7 linked regions of the Rattus norvegicus genome follow. The protein of the gene in region 1 purifies or fractionates together with the protein of each later gene. This does not show direct contact. Links are inferred from orthologs where the notes say so. Each region holds a gene or a part of one and is shown on either strand. Other genes may lie near its edges.

Region 1 (4,297 bases):
ACACATATCTGCATCACACAGACACACAGACACACACACACACACACACACACTTTAAAAAAGTTCTGAAATAACTAACAGAAAATGTTTGTTCGTTATAATTTCAGAGGAAAGTGAGTTTTGATACACTTAAACTCTTGGAGTCAAAAATTCTACTCATTCTGTACTTTAAGCAAAACAATTAATTTACTAAGACAAATTACTTCCTGTCCCAAGACAGCATAATCATGGGAATAGGGTCTAGTGATCTGTCATATTCGTAATTATGTCATAGTATCTTCACTGTATTTTATGCCTAGCTGGTACAATCTAAATTTGGGATAACTGACTTAAAGTAAATGCTTCAAGTATTGTAAAGAAAGAAAATTAAAGTTTTAAGAACTTTACTAACTCGTACTTTATTACCTATCAATATTATTAATGATAATTAATAAGCAGGCAATGAAAAGTATTCTCTATACTCATTTACAATTCAATGTCTTCTCATGCCTATGACATCAATTCAACCTCTCCCCAAGGCATAAGGTAAAGTAATTCATCTCTAGCACTCTCTAAAAAAAGCACCCAGTTAGTTTTTTAATCTCTACTCCAAGTAATCAGTAAACCACATTAAAATACAGCAAGTGAATGTGTAAGATTCCCAACCCAGTCTACCTGAGATTCTTGTTCAAAGTCTGCTCCTTCATTCCTTTCCCTGTTGCTTTGTTTTGGACATTTTGTTTTGTTTGGTGAGTCACAGGGTCTCTCCCTATAGCCTTCCCTGGCTGGCCTTGAGTACAGAGATCCCACTGCCTCTGCCTCTTCAGCAGTGGGAGTAAAGGTGTGTGTCTCCATGTTAATAACTACCTTCCACAGTCACCAACAAAATCATAGCCCAAGCTCTCACTCTTCGTTCGTAAGTTTTCTAAGTTTTCTCCCTGCTTCCAAAGGTATGATGTCAGGAACACGCCCTTTTTCTCTTCACACGGAAACTGAAAGCACTTTAAAACCCTAATCAGACCCACTGGTTTTCCAGCACGTTTCGGCTTCATCCCACTAGTTGTCATCTCTCGGAAAAGCTCAACTACCTAAAACAGAATATTCTTGTAAACATCTAGCCTGCTAACCTGTTCTTCTGAAGGCTCCATATTTATGTTATGTACTCCTGTGACTGTAGACAACTAGACTCTCTCCATAAAGGCACAAGCTTTGTCATCAAGATTTAGCACACACAAAAAAACTGCCTGATCTCTAATGAGAGGCATTCAACAAATAAACAAATTTTCAAGATTCATAAAACCTAATAGACTAATAGAATAGTTAAACAATGCTTTCTGTTAAAAAACTGAGTGACATGAAATTGGGAATGGAGTACCAGTTTATTATTGAAATGTTTTTGATGCTGAACCATTTCCCTGTGTTCAGTCACAATAAACAAACAAACAAAAAAACAAAACCCCAAGGGGGTCGGGGGAGATAGCCCTGTTGTCAAGAACACCAAACATCAGAAAGTGAATGACAGGATTAGTGATAACAGATCTTGTCTTTAGGATTGCTTTTAAAAAATTAAGAAATAGGTGAATTACTAGCTAAGCTGGCTTTTGCTCTTATTTAGATAGTACTTATTTCATAAAATAAATTTTATAGCTAAAGGTATCATTTGTTTCTTGTATTCTATAAATAGTCAAATAAAGCTATTTCTAAAATCTAGGGAGGTAGGTGGGGTAAGAGATATGTAATTATTTTATACATAACATAATCCCTGCTGTAATGGTAGGAGGATTTTATAATTTATAGTATGAAGTTTAATTATTTTTGAATTTTGGAAACAAGGTCTCATGTAACCTGGGTTGGCCTTGAACTGGCTGTGTAACCAAGGGTGATTCTGAACTCCTAATCCTCAGGTTTCCATCTCCCAAGCTAGGAAGAATACAAGGACAGATGGAAGGATTGTGAGTCTGAAACTAGTCTGGGCAACACAACATGTTCTTAGCCTCCTTTACACACCATTGCACTCACCCCCTCACCAAGAAAAAGGCTATACTACGTATAGTGGTACACACCTTGTAATACTAGTACTCTAGCACTTGGGAAGCCAGTTGACCTGTAGCAGAAAGATTTTAAGTTCAAGGCCAGCCCAGGATAGTAATGAGAAACATTAAAAAAGAATGAATGAATGAATGAATGAATGAATGAATGAGAGAGACAGACAGACAGACAGACAGACAGACTTAAACAAACATGTCTTTCTAATACTTTCATTTTTAAAGCTGGGAAAAGTAACCACTAAAATTAAACTAAGTTGGAATAAAAAAGATTTAAATTTTTATTTCATTATCATTTCAAAAGAGGGTCTGTGTGTCCCTAACTAGCCTGGAACCTGCTATGTAGACAGAGTAGTCTCAAACTCACAGAGATCTTCCTGCATTTGCCTCCTGAGTGTTGTGATTAAAGGCATGTATGTGCCAGGATCAAAGCTTTTATCTTATTTTTCTTATTACTATTTCATGTTCCCATATTTTGATTTAATATCTGACATTAATTTTAAAAACATCAAAAAAATTACCAAACTTTTAATCCATGTGTAAATTTAACACTGCAATATCTACCCAGTAACTTAGTAAAGATTGACTCTCTGCACCCTATTTCTCAGTGGTGTCACAATCTTCATTAACAAGGCTCCTGGGAACTACGGTCCCATGAACACTTAATGCAGAATTCCCAACAATTACTGATGTAAAGCTCTGTACCTGTGCGATGGAGAAGGAGCTTCAAATTGAGGCACCGTGCTATCTTCACTGACGGGGGAGTACAAGCCACTCATCTCCTGAAATTGTAAGTATATGAGTTACTCTACACAGTCCAAACAGAGGATGTATAAATCAAGCAAGCGTACAGCATTATAGTCTGTTCTAGCCTCAGCTTTTTATTAGTCCCCTTTTGTCTTCAAACTTCTCAAAAATACCTTTCATAGAGTACAAAAGTAAAGTTAATCTGAAATCAAAAAGGAAGCCTTGCCTAGTGTTAAAGAACTATAATTCCTAATAAATAATGCTCCAACTAAAAAAGCCTCAAATGAAGAAAAGCCCAAAGGAAATACATCCAAAAGGACATGCAGTGTACTTTTCACACAGTGAACTGACTATTCACACAAGGGATGATCTATTATCGCATATTAGGATAAAAGAGACGAGAGATGGTGACTAGATTACAACAGTCAAATCTCCAAATTGACAAAAACTGGGAATGTCTGCCACTCTCTAGGAGTAATCTACAAGTAATTAAAAAAATTAACATCCTTGAATAAAATACTGACTTTGTTTAGCAATGACATAAATTTTTGCTCTTTAACCTAAAGGGGCTAATCAAAGATGGTCATATAAATTATAAATTATGCCTCTGAATCTCACAACTGGCCTTTTTATGTGGAATGTTCTCATTGATGGAAAAGTAGCAAATTTGAAAATGCAACTATAGATGCATAATCAGGTAAAATTATTTCTGCCGTAGCTCAAAATAGCTAAACAGGTAATATAAATATAATAAATTAGTAATATTAAAAGGCATACTGAATTCCGATTAAATACCATTCATTATCCTTTGAAATGTTTTTATGTCAGCAAAAGAAAATGACATGTGTGAATTAAGAGAGCACACTAAATTTAAATTTAGTCAGATTTAGTGACCTCGACTCACAATAGTCTATGAATTTCCCATGAATTTCTGTACGTTATCTGTATTTTATTATGAATTCCAACAATAGTGCCAATGTATTTATATAATTTTTAATTAACATTAGTATACATTAATATATGCAGTAGAAATGTAAAAATAAATTTAATAAAGGATGAAATAATGAATCATCTTAAGGAAATAATGAAGGATTAGTAGTAAATTATTTAATTTAATTGGACTGCAAAAAGAAAATTAGACCAAATTTTGTTCTGTTTAATCAAGAATTACTGCAATGCATATTAATATAAATTTAGATTACAATTTATCTTCAAAAAGTATTCAGACTTTGTCTCCCTGCACAACTGAATTGTTAATTAAAATTATGAGAGTAAAAATTATGAGTAAAATTATGTTAAGTAAAACTATGAGAAATGTGAGAATTTCTTGATTTCTTACTTCCACTCTTTTAATATCCTCTTCCAAAACACTTAGTTCCTTCTGGATCTGTTCCAATTGCTGTAGATTAAAGAAAGGGAGAAAAGAAAAAAAATTCTAATCTAAACCACATTGTCAACACCATGGAAAAAATGAACCTTACATTTGGTTAAAAAAAAAAAAGAAGAAAAAGAAAAGGCTTACTAAA
Region 2 (4,305 bases), on another chromosome or scaffold:
AGGTGAGAAACCATTGTGCCTGAGAGGACAAAGCCACTGGAAGGGCTGCTAAGGGGCTGTTCTTTATTAGTGAGTTTCTCTAAGGGGAAAGTGCTCAGTCCCGTGGCACAGTTGTCTGAGCCCCATACAGCATCCCTTCCAAGAGCCCTCATCAGAAAAACAGTCCCCGCATCCGCCTGCCGATGCCTTGTCGGTCATACAGGACGTTGAACTTGTTCACAAACTGGTTCATTGTGTTGCACGTTTTGGTGATGGTGCCGAGGTAGGCCATAAGCCCCACGTCATTGCATTGCTGGGAGGGAACAGAAAGAACCAGTTCCCCAGGGGTCCCTCATATTAGCCAATGACACTGAGTTTCACCTGCCTGAGGTGGTTGTGAGCCCCACCTCCCCATCAAGGGTATTAACACTCACATCATAAAAGTCTGTCTTGAACTTGTCAGTGCTGAGAACTGGAAGACAGTGGCATAGGGCATAGGCCTCCCGCAGGATCTCATGGTTGAAGGGAACCTCTCCTAAGGGCACAATGAGGCTGCACTGATGTGGATGTTGTCACTTCTCCAGGAGGGAGGAAAGATGGTTAAAGGTGAGGTACCTCTCCTACCTGCTTCAGAGGCCTTGACGTACTCTAAAATGAGCTTCACACGGCTGTGCAGCATCTTGATGGCGCTGTGCTGAGCTATGAGGTGTTCAGCCACTGCAGGGGGACAGGACAAATGAAAGGTAGCAAGTGGCCACACCCAACCCATACCTCCAAAGAACTGAATTCAACCCCCTTACCAGTGGAGTTCTCCCCACTGCCTGTAGCTGTCATCCGGGCCACATGGTCTACACCGATACGTTCAGCTTCCTCAGTGGCCAGAGTGTAAGTGAGTTCAGCAAACAGCATTGTGGCCTGCAGAGTAAAGGGTTCTCAGCAAGGAAACAGGGCTGGGCAGACGGCTCAGTGGGTAGAGCGCTTGCTGCACGAGACTAAGGATCAAGATGTGGCAGCATGTGTCTATAATCCCAGAACTTCTACAGCAAAATGGGAAGTGAAGACAAATCCCAGAAGCTCACAGGTCAACCAGCCTGGCAAACACGAGATTCTGTCTCCAGGTAGAAAGCTACGACAAACACCCAGGGTTGCCCCATGCCTGTGCACATGTGCACAGCATTTAGGAGACAGGCTAAAGCAGGATTTGAAGATTGCAGGGTAACTATTACCTCTCCATTGATTATATCGATGACAGACTCAAAAACGCTGACAGGCAGCTGTAAAAACAGACGGAGACAAGAGAACAGCTCTTACTAGAAGCAAATGCACTTGAACTTGCCAGGCTGGTTTTGAACTCACAATTCTCTTGCCTCAATCTCCTGAGTGCTAAAATTGATTACAAGTGTTGTTGCCACACTTAGCTCACAATTTTCTCTCTACTGGAGTAAGTTTTACCCACATTACATATGGCGACACCACTGAAGAGATGAAGTTACACAACTGATGGGCGTAAGTAAACAGCAGCGTGGAGATTCAACTCAAGCGTTCTCTAATACACATGATGTCACAGAGTAAATCAGAGCAGAGGCATATAGGGGCAGATGATCAAGACAAAGGGGTCATAGGGTCAACAATACTCACATCTGTGTGCTTGGTCATAGGGTTCAACTTCAGAAAGAGAGGACTCTCAATTATCTCGCAAACCTAGAAGACAAAGCCCAAAAAAAGTCAGTATCTCTTCTTCCCATAACCTTCTGTTCTCTTCCCCAACATGCACACATGTGAGCTTTTATACCTGCTTATGGACGTGGATGTCTGAGGGGTCAGGTGGCCCCCCTGTGGTATACCAACCCAAAAACTCCAGCTCCTTGAAAACCTGTTTAACTGGAGAAGAAGGGGCCAGAGTAAATATTTCTTTAAACCTCTCTTCCTGAGTTTGATGGACCTGGTGTGTTTCCTTACCGGCTTTTCCCTTCCTCCCTCCCTCAAATTTTGGGTCAGTTTAGCATAACTATACCTTTCTATTCTAAATACAAAACAAAAATCTCCCCACTTCTCCTTCCCGCCCACTTCTATTCCCTTCTCACACTGCTCCTCCTTGGTGTAATAATATTCTTTGTCAATGATAATCTTCTTTTCCACGGTGTGAGACAGCAGCTCAAAGGAGTTCATCACTTCGATATTTCGCCCCTCCTGCTTCCCGATCAGAGCCCCAATCACTAAGGAGAGAGAAGCAGAAGTGCAAGGAAAATAGGTGAGGTTCAAGCATCGAAAACCTTTCCCGAGACTCTGAAGTCAGTGTGTATTAATGACTGGGGAAACAGTAATTTGGAAAAGGGGGCGGGGGGAGGGACTGGAGGAGATCTCCAAGAGGAGATCTCCAAGAGGAAATTTTGAGATTTACACACAACACTCACCCTGCATAGGCCGCCCCTCCTGGGAGCGCATGCGGATCCAATGGTCTGAGATGTTGAGGATGACAAGGGGATGAAGAGCGACGGAAACACTCCCAGTCACTCCGGAGGCCATCACGCTGGGGACTGTTAAAAGTGAAAGAAAAACATAGCGGGTGAGAGTTCGGGCCCACACATTCTCCCCTAGACATGGGAGCAGAGGACCGGTAGAGCCGGGCCGTTCATCCCTGCCCTCAAGTTATCCTGGGAGAGATGTCGCTTCTCCCGGGCTTAAGAAGTACTCAAGACACTCCGCAAGGGCGACTCCAGAAGTCGTTCCCTGCACCCCGTTACCTGCTGCATCCACCTCCATGCCGCTGCTGCCTCCGCTCCCGTTCGCCGCCGCCGCCGCCGCCGCCGCAGCCGCCGCCGCCGCCGCCGCCATTTTCCCCGCGCCCGCCAGCCACGGCCCGCCCCTTTCCATCTCGGCTTCCGTCGGCGAGCGGCGCATGCTCAGTGTGTACTCTGTGTTGCTAATGGGCGGGGCGTCTGCCAGTACTTGGTAGCCCATGGTTCTCAGTGTGTTGTGTTGTGTTGTGTTGTGTTGTGTTGTGTTGTGTTGTGTTGTGTTGTGTTGTGTTGTGTTGTGTTGTGTTGTGTTGTGTTGTGTTGTGTTGTGTTGCTGCTACCGGTTCTCATGAAAACCGGCCTGGCCATGAGTTCTGTATTGTGTATCTAAGAATGACTTTGAACTTTTGGTCTCTTGCCTTTACCTCCCAAGTAGGGCTGTTAGTTTCCAGGTCTCAAAGGGGATACTTTGTCAATACTAGACGCAGAGAAAATTGCGATCAAAAAGAGGAAACGCTGTAATTTATTAAGGATATAACATTTTTCACGTTGCATATAATCTATAGTGACATGGTCACTTGTTTGTTGAACTGCGGTCTAACCGTGTTGCCCAGCTGGCTGGGAACTTGCTATTCATCTAGGCTGAGTTCAAACTCAAAGAGATCTACCTGCCTCTACTTCCTGAGTGCTGAGATTCAAGGTGTGCAGCGTGCCCAGCCTGCCTTGTTTTTAAAACGGTGAGCAGGGGGGCTGGAGAGATGGCTCAGTGGTTGAGAGCACTGACTGCTCTTCCAGAGGTCCTGAGTTCAATTCCCAGCAACCACATGGTGGCTTACAACCATCTGTAATGAGATCTGATGCCCTCTTCTGGTGGGTCTGAAGGCAGCAACAGTGTACTCATATAAAACAAATAAATAAAAATATTGAAACGGTGAACTGAGGATCTAAAGTCGGTTCCTAACACTTACAAAGCAAGCACTTTATCCCCCGAGCCGTCTCCCCAGTGGATTACTCCAACTGTTCAGCTGCTTCTTCAGTTGCAAGGCAACTTGATTCTACACAACCTAGTGACTGCTACTGGGAAGGCTTGTGGCCCATGCCTTTAATCCTCGCACTTAGCGAGGCAGAGACAGGCAGATTTCTTGAGTTCAAGGCCAGCCTGGCCAACAAAGTGAATTCCATCACAGCCAAGGTTACACAAACTCTCACAATATAGGGGTTGGGGGAGAGTTGCCTTGGTCATGGTGTCTCTTTACTGCAATAGAACAGTGATTAAGACAAGTATGTTTCCCACTTGGATCAATAACTGAGGCTAAGCAACCTCCTTTAATAGTCAAGAAAAAGGGACTGGAGAGATGGCTCAGCAGTTAAGAGCACTGACTGCTCTTCCAGAGGTCCTGAGTTCAAATCCCAGCAACCACATGGTGGCTCACAACCATCTATAATGAGATCTGATGCCCTCTTCTGGTGTGTCTGAAGACAGATATGGTGTACTTGTAATATGTAATAGATAAATCTTTAAAAAAAAAAAAAAGTCAAGAAAGAGCATTTGGCCCACAGTCATTCATTTGGGGCCAATAACAGCCTG
Region 3 (3,743 bases), on another chromosome or scaffold:
GGCTCCAGTGGAGTAGGCGTGAAGCATCCAAGAGTCCGCACACACATGCCACATACGAGAGTGAAGCACAGATTCAAGTAACATTTACATACTAGAGTCCACGTGTTACCTACCCAAAAACAGGACCATTTCACAAAACATATGCAAGCAGTAAAACCCAAATGACTGAGGTACTGGGAACACAAATATTTATGCCAAAAGAGTTCTGTATCATACAGCAATAAAAAAGCCAGAATACAAAAGGAAAACATTTTGCCACTCGAAATCAAATAAGGCTATCTAGAGAGAGCCAAATAAAAGGTTATTCCAGGGACAGATATACTCAAAACAGGGGAATAAAATTATAAATGTTAAACTACAGCATGTAACATGTCATCCCATTGACCCGTAATTGAAGTACTGGCTTGATACATCACAATGTGACATTTTCCTTAATAAATACAAGGTGCGTATTGGGACAGAGAGCTGTTTGTATGTATATCATCCTGGCTTTTGGCTTATTGCCCATTTACTCCTTCTGTTCAAACCAGAGGGCCTTTCCAAGCCCAAAGGATCATTCTTAGCAAAGAAAAGGAAATAGCTGCCCTGTATTTTATACACATGGGACAACCTGTCTTGTTTTACTAGTTTCCCATAAAGCAAAAACAAAATGTTGAGATCAGCATCATCAAAAAGATCTGACTCCAGGAGGCGCCTGCCCTCTGGGACCCCCTCACCGTATTTGGAGCAGAGAGCAATGTCTACAATGTGAACCCTCTTCCTTCAAAAGAACAAAAACCAGAAAGGAGTTGTATTTTTCTCTTTTCCTTTCTTCATCCCCTGGACTGTGATAATGTATCTGGAAGTTTGACTTCATATAGTTTCTTGCTACAAAAACCAGCTGATACAAAACAGAAATGTCTGTGAAGGAATAGACTTCCCTTCCCCCTTCAGGGAGCAAAGCATTAACATGTCACTTCCTAACCAGAATAGGAAATTGTTTATTTAGAAGAAATGAATTGGAAAGTGTGGATGAGAGACGACAACTGGAACTTTTGTTTTCTTTTAGTTTAGCACCCAGGTTTCAGGTCAGTCTGTGTGCACCGAATTATTATTATTTTTTAGGTGAATCCTATTAATTATTACATAGGTGGTTGGCCTGTTCGAAAAAAAAAATCTTCGATCAATTGTCCCTTCCCTGAATCGTAACAAGAAGTTAAATGCTAACAGTGCAATGCCAAGGTATGTGTTTGAGGCAGAAGAGTTTCGATTCTATCGAGATCTGCAACTATTTCTGAACAAAATGAAAAGTGGGGTAGACCAGATAGCCCTACTGGTAAGGGGGACTCTCAGGCTACCCAAGGGAAGAGAAGTTTAGGGGAAGGGCTCCCGTCCATCTGAACCCAACCCCCATCCCACACATCTTGTTCCCATGCTACATGTTCCATCATTTCCTAGAACATATTCCTTCTCTGAACCAAGAAATGTGTAAATATGATGGGTCCGTCTTGCTTCTCAGCCAGGCCACCTGTGTCCCAGAACTCCTTTCTGGAGCTCTCTCTCGCTCCTGGTACCTGCTATGTGTCCCTGGGCCTTAAGCTCAGTTAAAGAAAGGGTCCAAGTTCTCCTCCATGTTGACGTCTGGCACCAGCTGGTCACATGCCTCTTTAGCACCAAATCCCGAATTTGAGACACTAAAATCTGTAGAAAACCAAGGATGGTCCAGAATTTCCTGTGAGGTCAGCCGCTCTGAGGGCTCCCGTCGCAGGATGCTTCGGATGAGGCACTTGGCCTTGGGAGACAGAGTTTCTGGAATGTTGAATTGGCCCCTGCGGATCTTACTGAAGAGGGAACTAGGCTCAATGTCATGGAAAGGGTAACGCCCCACCAACATGGTGTACAGCATTACCCCCAGGCTCCACACGTCCGCTGCCTTGCCCGAATAACTGCCGTTGGTGTTCAAGATCTCTGGGCTGACATATGCTGGGCAGCCATGCTTGTCAGAGAGGGAGTCGTCATCACCCCGGAGAATGTAAGCGTCTTCCAAACTCTCCAGCTTGACACGAGTCCTGTAAGAAAGAGACAAAGACAGAAGCTCCTAAGGATCAGGGAGACACATCCATCCCATCAGTATATCAGGGCTGCTGATGTGTGTTCATCCATCCATCCATCCATCCATCCATCCATCCATCCATCCATCCATCCATGTAAAAAGTTGGATGTCACTGATAATGTAGAATACTAAATATGGAGACTTGGGTAAATTTCTTGAAGCCTTTTAGCTAGGAGGTGGATAAGAATGCCTAACTTTGCCTTCTGGTTCTTTAGCTGTGCCCACCGCTTTTCTTTAGGACACAGGCAGAGTCAGGGAAAATTTCGGTTCAAGTAGTCTCCACAACCTACTCATCTAAGCCTAGCATACGAATATCAAATTGATCTTCATTTCCAGATATTCACCTGCCCTTTCCTGCCTGTCACACTCCCAAAGCCGGGGGTCTTTGACCTGGCACCTCTCTCTAATTACAGATGCATGGTTCACATGTGACTGTGTACCTGGGTAGATGGGTGTGACAATAGCAGTATTACCCTAAGCGTCCTTTCAAACAATTTATCCCACCCCACCTCCCCCAATCCACCAGCTTTTCAAGAACCCAGCAACTTATCCATACAAACATGCAAGCCCTAGATGTGCTGGGAAAGCTGGAGAAATGCATGTGAAATTCTGAGGCCTCAACACCCAGCTTACGCCATTAGCATGACATGCCCCCATGGCATCATCGTTGAGTGTGAAATAAAGATATATACTGTGAAAATAAAAAGTCTGGAAAATAAGATGACTTCTTTAATCAATCAGATTAGTGCAAAACAAACTGGTGCCAGGCATGGGGGTACACACCTGCAATCACAGCACTTGGAAGGCAGAGGCAAAGAAGATCAGGAGTTCAAGGTCAACCTGAACTACACAGCAAGTTGGAAGCCAGCCTGGGCTTCATGAGACTGGTAAACATACTGCTTCCCTGTGTTTGAAATGAAAATCCTTCTCTCTTCTCTCAGAGAGGAGCACCATCCTTTGAGTGGGCGGTTTTCACAACATTCCTAGAGTCCTGCTAAGATGGGAGCTAAGGACAGTTGGAGCTGGAGTTGGACCTCTGAGGCACTTAAAAGACCTGCAAATTCACATTACTTCTTCACATCTACAAGTACACACAACCAGGCATTCGTCCTGCTTGAGTACACAAGCTGTCGAGTTCAAAATAGTGTTTGGGCAAACTACAACAGGGCCACCTTGGTCATCACTCACAGCATGTAGCCCAAGACCATCTTCCTCCCATCTTCTCTCTTTTCTTCCTCCCTCTACCTGCAGATCTGTCTCTCAAGGTGGTCTGAAAAGTCCTTGATAGCAACTAGTTAAGCAGAGCTGCTGGGAGCTCTGTAGTAGAGTTGACAAAAGATGCGTTTCTTCTAGGATCTCCTATGAACATGTTTCAAAAATCAAGCACTGATTGCTTTCCTAGATAGTGTGGTCTTCAGGGGTGTAGACTCCCAGTCAGACTTATCTCTCACTAGCTGTGTAGCTTCAGCTAAGTCTCTCAACCTCCCTGTAAAGTGGAGTACTAGAGAAGGCAGTGTGTGTGTGTGTGTGTGTGTGTGTGTGTGTGTGTGTGGTTTATTTGGGGAGGACTGCTTTTATTTTAATATGGTAAATTTTACCTTAAAAGATTAACCATCGTAACCATTTTTGAGCATCCATTTGGTTCACCCTC
Region 4 (4,257 bases), on another chromosome or scaffold:
TAAACTAGTCTTTACTAGGAAAGTGTGGGTTGTTATTTTAGAAGGGAGCACCTATTTTAAAAGTGCCATCCTGACATTGTAGTTTAATCCCAGGACTCAGGAAGCAGAGGCAGTGGCTCTCTGACTTTGAGGCTTAGCCTGGTCTACAAAGTAGCCAGAGCTATGCAGGTGAGACTCTGATTCAGAAAAAAAAAAAATGTGGACCTACTTGACTTAGGAAAAGTGGCCCAAATGATCCAAAGACACCACAGGAAAAAGCTCCCCTGTGTTGGGGGCACAAGCAGTGCAAAGGCCCTGAGGTAATCAAGACATCAACCTGTTCTCAAATTGCAGGCAAAGCTCGAAGGTGGCCAGGAGGACGAGGGAGGCAGTCATATGGGTGGGCCATGAGGCAGCTGGGAACAGCTCAGAGTTTGTGGATACAAACACCTGGAAGGAGGGCCCAGTTATGATGGAGAAAGAAACCAAAGTTCAGAAAAAGGAAGTGGCCTGTGAGAGGCCACCCTGGATGCCTGCTAGAAGCTAGTGTCACAGAGTTGATGTGGCACTTTGTTGCTTTTGACTTTAAACTCAGGTGTGCTGTAAAACGTGAACCATGGGACCTTAAAAGAAAGATCTAGGGTAGCACGGAGGAAATAAATACACAGACTACCCTTTCTTTCTCCCCCAGAGCTTGGTCCTGTCCCGGCACCTTTGCACAGGAGAAGGGGTGAGCTCTCTGAGACAAGGTCTCTCTGTGTCTCTGTGGCTGTCCTGAAACTCAGTAGGTAGACCAGGCTGGCCTCGAACTTACAAAAATACACCACTCAAGTGCTGCAATTAAAGGTGAGTATCAATGTGGTTGGCCCTTTGTGCCTCCTATACCCACAGCGGGGACACACTGCCTTTGGACCCTCCTCCCCATGCCTCCTTCAACTTCTGACACGGCCGCCCTTTATCATCTTCGAGGCCCTCCCAGACTGCCTTATGCTCCCCTGCATCCCTACGTGTCTCCTCCTCTCTTTGCTTCTCCCTCCCCACTGACACCAGCTTCTTTTCCATCATTGCCCATGCTCTTCTGCTGTGTGCACATGTGTGTGTGTGCACATGTGTGTGTAAGTGTGCACGTGTGTGTGTGTGTGTGTGTTCTTGTGGCAGGCAGAGGAAAGCCTCTGTTGTCATTTCTCAGATTCCATCCCATCTTTGTCTTAGGATTTTTTTTTTTTTTTTGGTTCTTTTTTTTTCGGAGCTGGGGACCGAACCCAGGGCCTTGCACTTCCTAGGTAAGCGCTCTACCACTGAGCTAAATCCCCAGCCCCAGGATTTATTTTTAATCGTGTGTGACTGTCTGTCTGTCTGTGTATGAGTATGTGCACACGAGTGAGATGCTTGAGGAGGTCAGAGCCCTGGAATTATATAGGCAGTGGCGAGCTGCCTCAAGCGGATGCCAGGAACAGAACTTGGGTCTCCGAGAGAGTTACAAGCACTCTTAATCACTGAGCCATGTCTCCAGCTCTTTATTCATTCTCTTTCTCTCCTCTCTACCTGAGATAGAGTCTCTCACTGACCTCTGAACAAACTCCCTGAATAGGCTAGCTGGCTGACCAGCTATCTGGCTCCAGAGACCTGCCCGCTTCCACTTTCCCAGTGTAGAATTACAAGCGTGCAAGCAATAGCACTGGGTCTAGATTTGTTTTTTCATTTTCAAACAGGTTCTCAGTATGTACGCTAGGCTTGCCTGAATATCAGAGCAAGCCTCTTGCCTCAGCCTCTCTAGTGCTAGGATTACAGGCATGTGCCACCACACCCCGATTGGGTCTGGTTTTTGACCAAGGCAAGTAAGTACATTGTACGTGTGGTGCTCCATGTCAGTTGAAGAACCCAGTGATAACCTACAAAGCTAGAAAGCGGCAGTCCTCTGGATCCCAGGCCTTTTGCAGGGTCCTGGGATGCTAGGGGGAGAGCCCGTAGGATATACCTTGCAGGTGTACTCTGTGCCTGTGGGGCAGTGCAGGGCCCGATAGGTGCAGTTGCCTTGCTCTCGTTCCAAAAGGATATAGGGCCCCAGCCGGGTTGCAGGGGCCACAGCAGGTGACAAGTCTGAGGCGGGAGGTAGGCTGGGGGTTGGTCCAGGCTCAGGCTCATCTCTCACTCGTTTTAAGACTGGACACTCGACATCAATGTTGTCATCAAACTCCAACGGTTTCTTCCTGCAGGGAACATCGGCAGAAGCAGCCAGAGATGTGGCTCGCATCTAGAGAGAAGGGAAGAAAGGCTGTTTGGTACTTTGTCTTCCCTGCTAGGACCCTCCGGACAGCGAAATATCACACTGGGTTTCCTGAAGCTCACTAAACATAGTGCTCTCAAATGCAAGGACTGCTAGAGAGGGAAGGAACCCGCGACGAATTGAAGACTTAACGTAATAAGGAAAGCTGGGCATAGAGAGGCACCCCTGTATCGCCAGCACCGTGGGGACAGAGGCAGGAGGATGGCGAATTCCCGGTCAGCCTGGGCTGCATAATAAGCTGGGGGCAACGGCTCGGGCTCTGGGCGCCCCCAGACGGCGAAGTAAAGGAGCGAGAGAGTGAGAGTGAGAAGAGTGAGAGTGAGCAAAAGAGAGCGAGAGCGAGTAGGAGAACGGGAAAACGAGAAAACGAGAGAGGGAGAGAGGGAGAGAGAGAGAGAGAGAGAGAGAGAGAGAGAGAGAGAGAGAGAGAGAGAGAGAGAGAATATAAATATTTATGAATATGCCTGACTCCCAACAACCTTCTTGCCAGACCTCTTATTAAACCCCCTTCGCAGCTCCCTTCTGGGTACCTTGTCCTGAGGTCTCAGAGCCGCCTGCGCCCGCGCCCGTGGACCGCTGCCAGCCTCACTGAGCCTATCTCGGAGTCCCAGCACGCCCGTGCCAGACCCCAGCCGTCACGTACTCAACAGCAGCCGCTTCCGCTGCTAAAGTGCTGCGGCACCGGGACGCCGGCTCCGATCCCCGCCCGGCTGATGTAAACCTGAGCTAATCTGCTGCTGACGCCCAGAGGCCGGGGATTGCACCATCTGACCCGCCCATGTCGCCGAGTGTGCTCCGCCCTCACCTTAGGAGCCACACGCCCCCTCCTCCAGCCTCCAGCTCCTGAAGTAGCACTAGGAGCCACCGACTCTCCTTATTCAGTACTTTACACCTATTTCCCCATATATAAAATGAGAATAGTGGTAAAAGGAATGAACGGAGGCTGTTTAAAAATCTCATCAATCCCCTCCACTCTCTACCCCGTAGTCGGGCAGAGGCAGGTGGATCTCTGAGTTCGGGGCCAGCCTGGACTACAGAGTGAGTTCCAGGATATACAGGGCTATACAGAAAAACACTGTATCGAAAAACAAACAAAACAAAACAAAACAAACAAACAAACAAAAAACAAATATCGCCTCCACACCCCACTAAGGACTGGGCTAGAAGCCCCACTCTGAATCCTGGGAAACTTCCCTCCAAAGCAACCCTTTCAAGTACACACTCATCTGTAGCTCAGAAAAGCCACTTGGCACCTTACTCGCTAGCGGTGTGACTCTGTGAGAACACAAAGCCAAAAACAACCAAAGGAAGCAGAGCTTCAGCTCCCTTCTCCATGAAATGCTGCTCTCTTCATAGGGTTGCTGTGAGCATCAGTAAGTTCGTGTGTGCAAAGCTCTTAGAACAGCTGGGTGTGATGCACGTCCAGAATCTCAGTTATTAGAAAGCCTAAGGCAGGAGGCTGAATTGATGCAGCTCTGGCTTGCCTGAAACTCACTCTGTAGCCCAGGCTGCTGCTGTCGAACTCAGAGAGATGTACCTGCTTCTGTTCCCCCAGGACCGGGACTAAAGGCCTTGTTATCAAGCTAAAAGAAATGTAATGGCTGCAGCGGGAGACGCGAGAAGGGTCGTAGCTCAGCCACAAAACATTTGCCTAGCATAAGGTAGGCAGTGAGTCCAATCCTCAGGAACATCAGAGTGCAGTCTATGGGACTTGTAGGCACTCCGTAAATAGGAGGGAGCCGCCGGGCGCTGCAAGCGGAGGGATAGAACAAGATTCCGGCCACAGCCAAAGCTAGACATAGTGAGACTAGTCAAAGGGGTGACAGCTACCTCCATTCCTCCACCCTGGCAAAGCCCCAAAGGCCCAGTGCCTTTCCCGATACTCTAATTTATATCTTGATACTTGAGTTTATTCAAGTCAAAAACAAACTTCCTCCAGGAAGAGCTACAGGGAGGCAGGGCTGCGTTTGTTACTCTGGTTCGAGAAGCCA
Region 5 (4,460 bases), on another chromosome or scaffold:
AGGAAGAAGAAAAATGTCTCTGTACTTTGGATATTTACTTTGTGCTTATATAATGTTGTGAATACATTAGGTTGACTGAGGTAAAATCAATTTGACCTCTTAAGACTGTTTTGAAGGAAAAAAAATGTGACTTGCAGGGGTCTGAAATTTTCTTTTTCTGGGGCCCTAACGTGTAGTTACGAGTTAAGCAAGTGACACACTAAATAAAGGAAGGCCCTTCAACAGTAACAGAGTGTTAGACGGACCCAGTCACCGAACCTCATTTCCACACACCATCACTCTACGGCAGCTCCTGTCTTCCAGGCTCTGAGCTACAGAACTGGAGCCTTCAATAGCTCCATGGTGTGGAGTGTGCAAACCTCAGCCCCACCCCCACCCGCCCCCACCCTCCGCTCTCCTTCATGCGCACCCACCTGCTAACCACACACTGTCACTAAAATTAGCATGCAATTGATAGAACTCACTAGAGGCAGCAGATAGCATAGCCTCAAAGAATTACTTAAACTTCCTTTGATTCCCCTTTCTTGTGTCTTTTTATAGTCAACATTATGGCCAATGGCAGATGGCTTAACAATTCCCTACTAACACATACTAGTCACATGCCTATACCGACATGTGCAGCATGTGCGAGTGAGTGCACACATGTGCACACTCACACCTTGATAGAAGGCATCGAGAGCAGAAAGGAATCCTGGGGGAGGCTTCTGATTGCAGATTTGGGTTAGAATAGTCCAGAAAAGCTGAGACGAATTGAAGGAGCCACCTTCCCGGTAAGGTCACAGCAGGGCCTGTGCAGTCTCCAGAGAAGGCATATTTGTTCAGGCTCTCCCTTGGTATATTATTTAGCTACACTCACTGAATGTTCAATATTCCTCACAGATGAAGGCTAGACAGAATGCCTGATGGGAAGACCAAGTCCCACGTCCTCAATCCTCCTGAGCGCGGGTTCCAAAAGGAAAATCACCTTATTCCGAGACAACTGAGGCCCGATGATACTGAGTCACTGGCCCGGGTCACATTCCTGTGGGGGTGTCTATGGAGGTTCACCTCAGATCAGTAGGGCCTTAAATCCTAGCCATGGCTGAGTGGGCTTTGCCTACCACAGCCCACTGAAGCAGAGTGTGCAATTATGATTAAACCAGGCCTTTCTGTCACACTTCAGCCCTAGGAAATGCCCGCCAACTGAGAACTTCAGGTCGCCTACTTAGATGAAGTCAGCCCTGTAACCTGTTGATTAAACACAAGCCACCCTCAGAAAACCAGCGACACAGACAGAGGTGTCCACATGTTCCCTCCAGGGCCAGTCGGATAGCGCTTTCTGTGGTCCCAATGTGCAGACACTTGGGGACTTCACCGTGATTCTTCGCTTCTGAGATAGGCAGAGAATAGCTTTGGAGATCTAGAATAGAGCTCCCCTGCCTTTTGTGTACAAACAGGAGCAGAAAAGGGAGGCTCAAACTCCCACATAAAGAGCTGTAATTACTGGCTACAGAACAGGGTTCCTTTGTTGCCTGGCTTTTAATGAGTTTTGTAAAAAACCATGTAGAATTAAAGCCCTCTACTAAATGGCTTCAGGCAGACACGCGGCTAATCAAATTTAAGTCCATTTATCCTACTGGATGTGCTTGCTAACCCCTGGGACAAGTCAAGACTCTAGATAAATCAATTTTCAAGTTTAGAGCTTTTTGGTACTTTGGTTGGGGGGGGGGTGTACAAGAAATGGAAGAAAATGGCAGAAATGTAATGGCTGAGAATAGTTAAGTTTTGAAACAAGAATTTCCCGGATAACTGTATCCTTATTGGAACAGGTAATCACTTACATAAAAGAGCATAGGTTTGTATTTAGGTAAAATTTAGGTTAAAAAAAATAAAAGAAAAAAAAACCTTTTGAAGGTTGGTTTGCTTTTCGCTTAGCGATCAGTTTAGAGAGATGAATGACTAATTCCATATATGAGAGTTTGACTATTTCCCTGTGGGATGCGCGGTGTTCACATTAACTGTACTGCAAGATTACTCAGATTTTAATAAAAGCTTAACACGGAGATGTATCTCCCGATTGGCGTTGTGGGCAGACTGATAAGGGCGCAGGAGCTTTCACAGCAGGGAGTAAGTCTCTCTCTCAACAGTAAATGACTCCTGTCTCCAACCAGGACTGCACACTGCTTTACTTTCTAAATTAGTAGCGAGTCAACTACTATTTTAGGCTCCCCTGAAATTGAGTGCAGGCTAGTACAAGTCTTATGAGATTAAATAATAAATTAAAACCAAAAAAAAAGGTCAAATATGCAAACGCTTCGGGTTACCCCTTCATTCATATGTTCTACGGGGAAAATAAAAGCAGAACAGCCACGCGCACCCCTACTTGGACGTGTCCCGTACTGGCTTCCCAGGGTCCAGGGGAACCGAGAGCTGGCCGAGCAGGTGACATGTTCCCGGGAGCCGCAACTTCCCAGGTGTTTCAGGCGTCGGACACCCCCACATCCTCCCAGGCCTAGCTCCTCTCCCACTCAAGTCACCCCAAACCTGGGGCTACTTCGGCCATCTCTCCAGGTGTCTCAAGCCCCCTGGAGAAACACAGACCCGCGCCCCAGGCAGGAACCGCACAGAGCGACCACTGGCTTCCCTAAAACAAAAGCGGGCTGCCCGCTCCCGGCCCGGTTCCCGGATCCCCGGCTGAGGCCACTGGGTGCCTAGGAACCAGCTGGAGAGGCTCCGGGGCGCGCGATCAACCGGCGGGAGCAGGGGCCGCCCGCACTGCACCCCACCCCGGGCGGAGTCCCTCCCGAGGAACGTCGCGCACGGGGGCCGCTCTTACCGCGCCGCAGCAAGCAGGGCCAGCCGGAGGGCGGCGGGGAGAGGAGATCGCGGCGGTCCCGGCCGGCAAGGCCCAGCGAGACGAAGGCGTAGGGCCGATACGGGCGCGCGGGGTCGGAGACGGTGGCAGGGACTGGCGGGCCTTAGTGGTGTCCACTCCGTGCTCAGCACCGCGGTGGAGGAAGTAACCAGCCCGATCCCCTGGCCGCGCGCTCTTCTGGAGCTGGGGGAGGGCCGGAGGGGACCGGGGGAGGGGACAGCAGGGGTGACGGAGGGAGCGCGGAGGAGGAGCAAGCGCGAGGCCGGCGTGGGAGGAGAGTGTGCTCCCGCAGCGGCGGATCCACGCTGCTCCCGGGCCCTTCCCTGCGCCCCTGCAGCCGGCTGTCGCCTGCCTGCTGGCCCCTGCTCCTAAGGCCCAGCTTGGGCCTTGTGCCCAGGAGGTTCAGCTAGAAGGGCAGGGCCGTGTCCGCCCGCGTCTCCCTGGCGCACGGCCGTCTGCAGGTCCAAGCTGGGGGCCCTGGTGGCACTTGGATTGAGTGGTTAGGCTTCTGCGGTAGAACCGGTCCTGTGTTTGGAGCTACGTGTGGGTCCTGATTTCTGGTCCCTCCGACGTGAAAAGACTCTTACGTGGGGTTAGGGAGGCACAAAGTGGGCGGGTGGCGGAGTCGCGAGTGGAAGAGCAGAACGTGGCGCAGCCGCTTGAGTCTTGGGAGGCCCCTCCTACTACCTAGGTGTGGATAGCGCCCCCTAGGGCTGAGCCGAGTCTTAGCGCCAACCTAGCTGAGCACTCCGGCGCCATCTATTATTAGTCTTACTAATGCTTCAAAGCACTGGTGTTTTACTTAACATGGTCTGCCAGGTCAACAACATGCCAAGTCCAACGTGACTCTCCCAAACTCATGGTCAAAACACCAGCCAGAGGGTGGTTTCCTTTTTGGTGAGAAGGCGCCGAGTCCATGATTGGAAACCTATGTGATTGGTCCGGAGGCATAGGTGTACGTTCAATATTATTGCGTTCCTCCTTGAGTTTAGATCGATACCCGAGATTTGTAGGAAATTGCAAATGGCAGGCTTAGTCAAGGCCGCGGGACCGACGATTGGTACAAGGACAGACTTGCTGGGAAGGGAGTAGAAGGTCCCACCTTCCCTTGTACTCAGGGTTCCTGGTTTCCATGGCAACTCCCCTTCTGAAGTTGTTGCCAATCAAGATACTGTTGCATTTGATACTTCTCTCTAGTGTATCACCTTTGCAGGAGTCAAGGCCCAATCCACTAAGCTAAAACAGCTAGGTTCACAGGGGATTGATATTTCCTCAGGGCTTCTCCGTGTGAATTCAGGTCTGGACCAGAGAACCCAGGTCAAGGAGGAACTCCCTAAATAGAAGACAGATTCCCTGTTCCGTTTCCATGGAGACATGGAGCGGCATATGCTAACTTAAAGAAGGAAAGAAAAAAAAACCAGCAGAAGGTACGGACTTATCTGAAGGAGTGTGTCTGTGGGCCCTCTCTCCCCGCACCTATGCTCACACCTTGACCACGTGCCTGAGAAGCTTGGTATGGATACACATAGGGATCTCTTGAAGCTCAGGTACCCAAAACAGGACCGCCTGTTCCCACCTCTTCTGCTCCAGAGACCGTGGGTACTCT
Region 6 (4,456 bases), on another chromosome or scaffold:
TGAGGGAGGCTCAAGAAAGGAGTCCTCTTCTGGGCGCTGCAGAGCTCTCTCCGTAACTACATAGGGATTTCTCTAACAGGAAAGAGAATGAAAGATCCCTTGCCAAATATAAGGACTGACCCGGGTTCTCCTGAAAGGGAGGCTCCCTAGAGGAGAGCAGCTGCAGCAAGCTTCAAAGAACTGTTTGGCAGATAAAGGGGAGGAGTTGATGCAGCAGAGTGAGCCCAATTTAGGTGCCAGGGAGTTGATGCCCTTGTCCCACCTCTGACTCCTACAGGCTGCAAGAGATTGCATGTACCTTTTCCTTCTCAGAGCCCCCTCTGCCTTATCTGTAGTGTTTGGTTGGAGAGATGAATTTTGAAAGCAGTATGGTGGGCCTGTGGATCCCTGGGACCGCAGCTAGAGCAGCCCAGACCCCAAGGGAGGTAGTCTTTCTCACACTTGCTTGCCACCTAGCACCATGTCTGGCAAGGCAGCTATTTACCAAAGGAATCGATGAGCGAGTGACAAAAACACCAAGATCAACTTCTTGAACAAAACTGAAACCCATCCTGCCTTTTGATCACCCAGTCCCTTGAGATTTCTGTTTCCTATCATCGGATGCTTGCCTTCAGGTAAGGAGTAAGATGGCAGCCAGAGGGACATCCTTGAGCCTCTTGTTTGCAAAACCGCGAGTGAATGATAAAGCAGGTCACAGATAAAGCGTCTCCACAGATCACAGGCCCTTGAGAAAACCGTTCGAGCCAGTTTACATTTACTGAGCACCAACTGTGCATCCATTTGTTTTCACATAGCTTAATTCACTTAAGCTCTTGGTCTCCGAGGGCTGCACAGAAGACCGCGGTGGCTTTGAAACGCTAATGTCCCGCAGTATTGACAAGCTGAGTTACCTCAGGTGAGGGGCAATGGTGTCTTTCTTAGCTTTCTTCCATTTTCATTTGTAAAGTAAAATGGAAACAGCTCCGCAGCACCACGTTAGGGAAGGAAATTAGCACGTGGAGGCAGAGCGCTTCATAAATGCTCGTTATTATGGTTCCTCTGGGAGCACAAGTCCGTTCGCCTCCCCTTCCCCCCCAGGGCACACAGAGGTGTTCACACTCCCACGTACTTATAGATGCACAGAGGCGTGTGTGCTAACGCCAGCGGGAGGAGCTCAGGGGTCCTTAGACTCAAAGCCCAAGCTGGAACTGGTGGAGAAGCCTCTTTTTTTTCTCAATTCTTTATGAATGAACTAAGGCCGAAAGGAGTTTATTTTTTTATGAATGGAAGTCCAAAAAGTGAATGGAGCCGGGAGCCAGCCCCTACATTCTGATTGGCCCCCGTGGCTGGGAAACTCCGCCCTCAAGCTCCGCTAGCGGAGTCTGAGGATTGGCGGGCGTGCCTGGCCCTGGGGTTTCATTCACAAAAGTCAATGAAACAAAGGGAACCGGTGGGGAGGGGCGGGGGAAGAGCGAGAACGGAGGCCAAGGCAAAGGAAATGCACCAATCAGCTGCTCCCCGGGGCTCACAACTGTCTGCTGCGCCCGGAAAACAAGCCGGGGCTCTGGGGACCCGGGGCTCAGGCCGCCTCGCTCAGGCCTAGCCCCGCCACTTTAGTTGTGTCATCCCCCGGGCATGCTGAGCATCCCCCCACGGCTCCTGCACAGACGCCCCGACCTCAGGTGAAGCTGCGGAAGGGGAAGGAAGGGAGAGTGTCTGTGATTTCCCCGATTCGTCTCCCACACACCACACTCTTTCTGTTCGGCGCCCGCTTCCGCACATTCCGGGGCGGGGGTGGGAGGCGTCGGGATTCGAGGCTGGAGGGGGCGCCCGAGTTATAGGCGTGCGAATGGTGTGCGCCGCGCGCGCTCCCATATACACACTCACACACGCGCACACACACACACACACACGCACGCACACACACGTCTTATGTAACCTAGTCCCGGCTGAGCAGGGCTGCAGAAAGCAGACACGCCGACCCCAGCTCGAGGGAGCAGGTGGGACCTCCTTTGGCGGGAGGGGAGTGGCGGTGGAGGCGCTCGGCCGCGCAGGTCCCAGCGAGTCGGAGAAGTTTCGCTGTCCGATCCAAAGCCTCGCGATCGCCCCCTCCCCCCGCAGCGCTCCCGGGACCGTGTGCGAACTGCCTCCCCCCTCCCAGGTCTCTGCCTCCGCGCGGGGGCCCGGCCCTGTGGCCGGAGGGAGCGGCCGGATGGAGCGGAGGATGAAAGGCGGATACTTGGACCAGCGAGTGCCCTACACCTTCTGCAGCGTGAGCGCCGCGCCGGCCTCCACGCCCGCCCCCGCCCCGCACCCCGCCCCTACTCGCCCCGCAACCCCCTCCCGGGGGGTCTCAGTGGGTCCAGGGCCTCCTGGCCCCTGAGCCACCCCGGGACCCAACCCCCAACCCCAAGCTAGACTCCTCAGGGTGATTCGGGGGCATTCTCCCCCCCTCCTTCCAGCAGAAATCTCCCGGAAATGGGAGCTTGGGCGAAGCGCTGATGGTCCCGCAGGGGAAGCTCATGGACCCGGGTTCCCTGCCGCCTTCCGATTCAGAAGGTAAAGAACCAAACAAACTGCGACCCCTCTCCTTAATCCACACACATCCATCCCAGAGCCCTATCCTGGACCCACATTTCCCCAAAAGTCAAATCACTCATTCTTACTCTGTCCCTTATCACCAGTGGGGAGGCTGTAACCCGGGCACGCCAGGTCTCTCCCCATATTATCTCCACCTCTTCACCAATCCAATATTCACCCATCAGATCTCTTCCAGGATCTCAGTCACTTCCAAGAGACGTGGCTCGCTGAAGGTGAGTAGTTTTGTTTCCTTCCTAAAATTAGAAGTGGGTCGTGGGGAATCTTCTCTGTCTCAAGGAGTCTTTCCACCCCCTCCCTCCAGTCCCTAACCATTTCTCTCTCCCTGGTGCCCAGTGTGGACACTTATATTGATATTTATTTTCTCGCCCTGAGCCAGGCTTGTATAACTAGGCCTGGGGATGAATCAGACTATTGTGTGGGGTATTCGCTTATTTGAATGGAACTTGGCCCCAGGCCTGTTTTCTTTCTTTTTTTTTTTCCTGGTTGAAAATTTCATTTGCAAAGTTTGTTTGGCAGGAGGCGCCTGGCCTAGGTGTAGTGTTGGGGTGTTGAGGTATTGAAAGACAGCAATGAAAAACAGGAGTAATTTATTACCCATCTTCTGGAGTTGCTGGAACATTGGTTGGTTTTTCTTCTCTCTCCATTTCACTTCTTCCTAACTCTGAGGGCCAATTTACTGACCAAGCCAAAATAACAACAAAAGTTTCAATACTTCTCTTCTTGGCACTTTGGCAAAGAAGACTCAGGGCTGCCTCCCCAAATAGCCTTGATTATAATTCCAGTGGCAACTGGTTCTCTCTCCATCCCTCCTGAATACCTCCACCCCCAGGCAGTGCTCCCCTTCCTGTATGCAGGAGGGTTGTGAGCCCTGGCCAGGATGGGGTCAGTAGCCCAGCGTGGGCTGGGTGGGGCAGATGTCCTAGTTGGATTCTAGTTGTTGTGTTTTGGTGAGGTTAGTTAGCCTGAGGGTGATGCTGGCAGGGCTGCCAGTCAAAGGAGGCATGGTGACTTACAGTCCCTGAGATTCAGGAAGCACTAGCACCCCCATCTTCACTAACACCCCCTTTGTGTTAATACTCTAAAAACCCCAGAAACCAAAAGTGAGCACCTTCTTCAGGTCTTTTCTCTTCCTAAGGGGTCTTCATTCTTCCACTGTGGGTGGGTACCTTTCTTTTGGAATTTAAAAGCTCAGATCCACCTCTTGCAGGATTCTCTACAGGAGAAGCTTGGATGAGAAGGAAAGGACCACTAAGTCGGTCTGTGGAATAAGATGAGGTCTGTCTTGGCCACTGTCTGTCTGTCTCTACACACACACACACACACACACACACACACACACACACACACTTATTGCTTTTGTCATTTTTATGATTATTGTGGTGGCGGCGGTGTCAGAGAAGGACTATTAGCATGGAGCTTAGCCTCTGAAATGAGCAATGAGGGTGGAGGGTATGAGTGTAGCATGTATCTTCCTCTGCTTGTATGTCCTGAATGCCCGGCTCCCAGTTGCATGTAGAGCTTTGTTGGCTTACCCCCTTCAGGTTCTGGAGCTAAAGAACTCAGGGTCTCCATGGGCTCTCAAAAAAAAAAAAAAAAAACCCTTTCTTACCACCTAGTTACTGATTTTGGTCTGGCTCTCTGGGTTTCCTGCCCGTCAGCTGAGAGTCCTCACAGTGGCCAGCTCCCCAGTTGTGAGCTGTGGGCTCAGGGTGGCATTTTGGCAGTATTTGGTCTTTTTGAATGACACGGGATGGAGAATGTTCTCTTCACCCAACCATGGAAGCCCCACCCCTTGGTGGTGGGTCTGGTGATAGTCCATGTGTCTGTCTGTGTGTGTCAGTGTGACAGCAAGTGCGTGTGCGCACAGGCATGCGCA
Region 7 (3,743 bases), on another chromosome or scaffold:
CAAGAGGAAGTCAATCTTGTAACTTATCGAGCATCATGGTTTCTATGCAATCGAAGTTGGAGAAAACAGCTCAGTCAGGTATCAGGCCCAGATCACACAGCAGGAAGACAGCTCTCAACCAGCTGGTACTCTCCTCTTTCACAAAGTACTGACTACAGGGCCCTGCTGGTGGCCCATCCCGGGGCTGACCTCCTGATGCCTGGGTGACCTTCCTTCAGTGACCGACCACCGTTACCAACCACATTACCGGATGCTCCTGTGTACCATGCAAAAGCAGCCTTGTTTTGCCTTTTTTTCTACTATAGGGACATTTTCTTAAGTTTTGTCTTTAGTTTTTGTTTTTCTTGATGCCAAGTGTGGGAGACGGCATAGTATTTCAAAATTCCTAGATGGGGGACTTTTTAAAAAAATTTTCTGTGAAGCCTCTTTAAATTGTGAGGCTTTCTTCATTGAGATACAATACAAAGAAAAGAAAAAAAAAACAAAACAAAAAAAATGAAACAACCCCCACCCCCCACGTGTTGAGGGTAGAATACAGCTTCTAAGTTCTCAGCAAGTATGACCATCAAGATTGGTCTGGCCAGAGGAAAAACTAAAGAGTTCTAAGGAGTATAAATGGAACACGCTGTAGCACGCCAAATACATGATCCCCTCCCACACCGTGTGGGAGGAACCACCAATATAAAACACTGCTTTCAAATACAGTATTTATCTTCCGAAAATAAACTGAGTTGTGAAGAGATATATAGGTAGATTACATGAAACTCTAAGAATATACGGCGACTGTGTTTTATTTTAGCTGTTTAAAGCATGACTACAGCAAGTGACCGCCACTCTCAACAAATACGCAGAAGGCCATTAACATCCTGTCCAAAGAGAAAGATGCAGTCTGAACAGGTTGGGCCTATCTGGAACAAAAGACATCTTACCCATGGGAGATAAATCAGGAACTTCAAAGACACTGAGAAGAGCAAAGGTCAAGGACAAAATGGCCCCTTCCAGGGTGCTCAGCTTTTCAGTGATCCTTGTGGATTGTTTGCAATTCAAAAACAATCCTATGCATACAGAACACGATTTGCTTTCTCACCGAAAAATTAAAACACAATGACAACCGACTTCTGCTTTGGCTGTAGAGCTGTATTCCCTTTATCCTACAGAATAACCTACACTAAACAAGGGCAGGCTGGGAGGGGCTGAGGCAAAGCAGAGCCCTCGTCACAGTTTATCTAAGTGACTGATAGCCTCGCTGAAGCTCTACCAACTCAGTCTCCAGCAGAACAAGGGCACACGCATGAACATACAGTGTGGGCAGACACAGAAGGTCAACTTCAGGCTCTCTCCACTTTGTTTTTTGAAGGCAGGGTCTCTGACTGGACCTGGACCCCACCACCCACGCTAGGCAGGCTGGCCAGCAAGCCCTAGGGATTTCTCCTGGCCTTTTCACAGGGGCCTGAGACTCCGACTCAGGCTCTCACAGAAAACTTTTCAGGCCGAGCAACTTCTCCCTGCTGGGATCTGGATTTTTATCTCCACATCCTTGTGGGAAGAGGGGGGGTGCTCCTGTGTGCACCCTCAGCCTCGAGGCTGCAGTGCTCTAGGGGAGCCCCAAGCACCTCAGTACTGCTTACTGTGTCATTTTAGAAGCCTACACGTTAGCTCACCTTTCACCCCAGGTTTCCAGAGTCTCTGTCACCCATCATTACTACAGGTCAAGGGAAAAGAAGCAGGAAGTTCAAGACAGATAGGCCACTTCACAAAAGACTCATCTGGAAAGGACACCTACACGCTTTCCCTCTGGACCTGAGGGCAGATAGTCATAAATCCTGGGGACCTGAATCTCCTTTCTAGAGGGTAGGCAGCCAGGAGACTTGTCTACTCTACAACTGATGCCTGGTCTCCTCCAGTGAGGCCAATTCATACAAACTGTCACATCGCTCAGGCTAAGAAACGAGGGTAGACAGGAAGGTGCTAATCAAAAGGACTTAACAAGGCAATTTCCCTATGCCTACACTTGCCAGGCATTTCAAATACCGAACAAATTCGCCCCAGCATCTTCCCCTCCCCCATTAATAACCAACTCCTGCACGAAACCAGTGAGATTCTGTTTAAAAAACACACACCCAAACCAGAATAAAAACGGCAAAAGCTCACCACTTTTGACCCAAACGTCTTATTTTTTTCATAAGAATATCGATTCTCTTGACAAAGAACAAGGTTATGAGTGTATGACACCGCCAAAGCCTGGTGGCGGCTGTTTTCTTTCAGACGCAGCCTGTGTGGCAAGAGAAACTCATGAACCAGTGTCTCTGCCGTATCACAAATCTCAGGCGCCCCCAGATGGGTGATCACCTCGGGGGCTCTAAATAGCATAACTGCCTCTCTGTGGCTCTTGGCTTGACTATGGGAAAGACTATCAGTCAACTGCATCCTGTGGGTTAGAAGTGGGGACAGGACCAGAAGCAAGAAAAACCTCTAGACAGACGCCAAGTAGAACCCATCAGCGCCCTTCCTTCTCCGAGTGCGGCCCACCCCCAGCAGAGTGGTGGTTCCCATCCTGCTGTCCTCGCTAACACCACTGATGAGTCACTGTCAACACAGATGAAAAGCGTCTGACATGTAATGAGTAAGTCCACACCTGGCCGCATTTCCAGACCAGCACGATGAACGTCGAAAGCCGGATCCCTCTCTACCTTTCTGTTTGATGAGTGAAGGACTCCGGATAATTAACCAAGACGTTTCAACCGTTAAGACACGTGAAACGACCTACAGGGAAACCAGGAAGTTTCTACCTCAAAAGCAGGTGTTATCACTAACCTCTCTAGCTCATTTTATCGTAGAAATAGGCTAACATGTGAAAAACACTGGCTTCTGTAACTCAGAGTCTTCCCCGGATGCAAACAGAATGTAATAGCATGATTGAAAGCGGCATGCACTACAGGTCAGCTTTACGGGCAGTCTCTCAGGAGCCCAGAAACTGGTGGGTTGATTGTGCATCTGAGCAAGTCACCCCTCCACCCTGGCTGGAAGCGCGTCGACAGGCTTCCTAAGAATCCTAGAAACCATTCTGAGAACCTCTGTAACAGGGTACTATATAGTCAGCCATACCCACAGTACATCCATACTCCACTGAAGAGTCAATGGAGTGAGAACTTTACAGACCCCTGGCCAATGTGACCAACTGCTCCTCTCTCGTGATGAGAAAAGGACATGAGAGAGGAGAAACTTAGTGCAGGGTGGTACCCACCTCTGTTCTGATGGATACTGGCTTTCAGGCATCATCTTTGGCATTTGCAGGGGCTGATGTGGTGGCCGGGGGACCGCAAATGTTTGCTGCTGTGATCCAGGTTCTGGAAGCGAGTGAGGGGTTGGGGCAGGACCCACCCCTTGAACTGGGCCGGCTCCAGGGGCAAGAGCTGAGGTGGGCAGAGTTGCCTGAGGTGGGGGAAATAGGGAATTCTGATGGGTGGGTGACAAAGGAGTGGCGGGCGGGGTTAATGGCTTGAACCCAGAGGGAGGCTTCCTGTCGTAGGCACTGTAAAAAGAAAGACAGAAGCTCCATTAAGCTGCAGAGAAGCATTTGCATAGTAACCAGGCCCAGCAGAACACCAGTTTGCAGCCCATTGTTGCCAGGAAATGACATCATTAACACAGTGAAATCGCTACAGCCCAGGGGAATATTTGTACCTCAGAAAAGTGACAAACGCAGGGCGTCAAAGGACTTGTTTAACACTTCGTGTGATTTT

The links.
Region 2: the proteins of Cop1 (region 1) and Cops6 purify together in Homo sapiens (affinity purification with western blotting; 3 studies listed by BioGRID and IntAct, with this or other methods). This does not show direct contact. The link is inferred for Rattus norvegicus from reciprocal best matches to the Homo sapiens genes COP1 and COPS6.
Region 3: the proteins of Cop1 (region 1) and Trib2 purify together in Homo sapiens (affinity purification with mass spectrometry; 4 studies listed by BioGRID and IntAct, counting the BioPlex papers as one, with this or other methods). This does not show direct contact. The link is inferred for Rattus norvegicus from reciprocal best matches to the Homo sapiens genes COP1 and TRIB2.
Region 4: the proteins of Cop1 (region 1) and Trib3 purify together in Homo sapiens (affinity purification with mass spectrometry; 5 studies listed by BioGRID and IntAct, counting the BioPlex papers as one, with this or other methods). This does not show direct contact. The link is inferred for Rattus norvegicus from reciprocal best matches to the Homo sapiens genes COP1 and TRIB3.
Region 5: the proteins of Cop1 (region 1) and Ets2 purify together in Homo sapiens (affinity purification with western blotting; 3 studies listed by BioGRID and IntAct, with this or other methods). This does not show direct contact. The link is inferred for Rattus norvegicus from reciprocal best matches to the Homo sapiens genes COP1 and ETS2.
Region 6: the proteins of Cop1 (region 1) and Etv4 purify together in Homo sapiens (affinity purification with mass spectrometry; 5 studies listed by BioGRID and IntAct, with this or other methods). This does not show direct contact. The link is inferred for Rattus norvegicus from reciprocal best matches to the Homo sapiens genes COP1 and ETV4.
Region 7: the proteins of Cop1 (region 1) and Etv5 purify together in Homo sapiens (affinity purification with mass spectrometry; 6 studies listed by BioGRID and IntAct, counting the BioPlex papers as one, with this or other methods). This does not show direct contact. The link is inferred for Rattus norvegicus from reciprocal best matches to the Homo sapiens genes COP1 and ETV5.

The regions. Positions count from the first base shown.
Region 1 is NC_086031.1:73,999,288-74,003,584, reverse strand, and holds the start of Cop1 (E3 ubiquitin-protein ligase COP1), read right to left. Parts: upstream 2,987-4,297; 5' UTR 2,807-2,986; coding exon of another isoform or gene 2,804-2,806; coding exon 2,730-2,803; intron 1-2,729. UniProt on the Homo sapiens protein: E3 ubiquitin-protein ligase that mediates ubiquitination and subsequent proteasomal degradation of target proteins.
Region 2 is NC_086030.1:22,151,238-22,155,542, reverse strand, and holds Cops6 (COP9 signalosome complex subunit 6), read right to left. Parts: upstream 2,856-4,305; 5' UTR 2,854-2,855; coding exon 2,724-2,853; intron 2,517-2,723; coding exon 2,394-2,516; intron 2,196-2,393; coding exon 2,064-2,195; intron 1,861-2,063; coding exon 1,772-1,860; intron 1,681-1,771; coding exon 1,618-1,680; intron 1,254-1,617; coding exon 1,206-1,253; intron 895-1,205; coding exon 780-894; intron 697-779; coding exon 604-696; intron 515-603; coding exon 414-514; intron 293-413; coding exon 152-292; 3' UTR 16-151; downstream 1-15. UniProt on the Homo sapiens protein: Component of the COP9 signalosome complex (CSN), a complex involved in various cellular and developmental processes.
Region 3 is NC_086024.1:44,275,064-44,278,806, forward strand, and holds part of Trib2 (tribbles homolog 2), read right to left. Parts: intron 2,049-3,743; coding exon 1,580-2,048; 3' UTR 1-1,579.
Region 4 is NC_086021.1:161,272,570-161,276,826, forward strand, and holds the start of Trib3 (tribbles homolog 3), read right to left. Parts: upstream 2,965-4,257; 5' UTR 2,797-2,964; intron 2,234-2,796; coding exon 1,958-2,233; intron 1-1,957. UniProt on the Homo sapiens protein: Inactive protein kinase which acts as a regulator of the integrated stress response (ISR), a process for adaptation to various stress. Inhibits the transcriptional activity of DDIT3/CHOP and is involved in DDIT3/CHOP-dependent cell death during ER stress.
Region 5 is NC_086029.1:48,489,637-48,494,096, reverse strand, and holds the start of Ets2 (protein C-ets-2), read right to left. Parts: upstream 3,041-4,460; 5' UTR 2,816-3,040; intron 2,787-2,815; exon of another isoform or gene 2,429-2,786; coding exon of another isoform or gene 2,357-2,428; intron 1-2,356. UniProt on the Homo sapiens protein: Transcription factor activating transcription. Binds specifically the DNA GGAA/T core motif (Ets-binding site or EBS) in gene promoters and stimulates transcription.
Region 6 is NC_086028.1:87,219,191-87,223,646, reverse strand, and holds the start of Etv4 (ETS translocation variant 4), read left to right. Parts: upstream 1-1,444; 5' UTR 1,445-1,614; coding exon of another isoform or gene 1,615-1,661; intron 1,662-1,822; exon of another isoform or gene 1,823-2,100; coding exon of another isoform or gene 2,101-2,191; coding exon 2,192-2,251; intron 2,252-2,296; exon of another isoform or gene 2,297-2,441; coding exon of another isoform or gene 2,442-2,444; coding exon 2,445-2,538; intron 2,539-2,744; coding exon 2,745-2,792; intron 2,793-4,456.
Region 7 is NC_086029.1:92,140,564-92,144,306, reverse strand, and holds part of Etv5 (ETS translocation variant 5), read right to left. Parts: intron 3,533-3,743; coding exon 3,245-3,532; intron 1-3,244. UniProt on the Homo sapiens protein: Binds to DNA sequences containing the consensus nucleotide core sequence 5'-GGAA.-3'.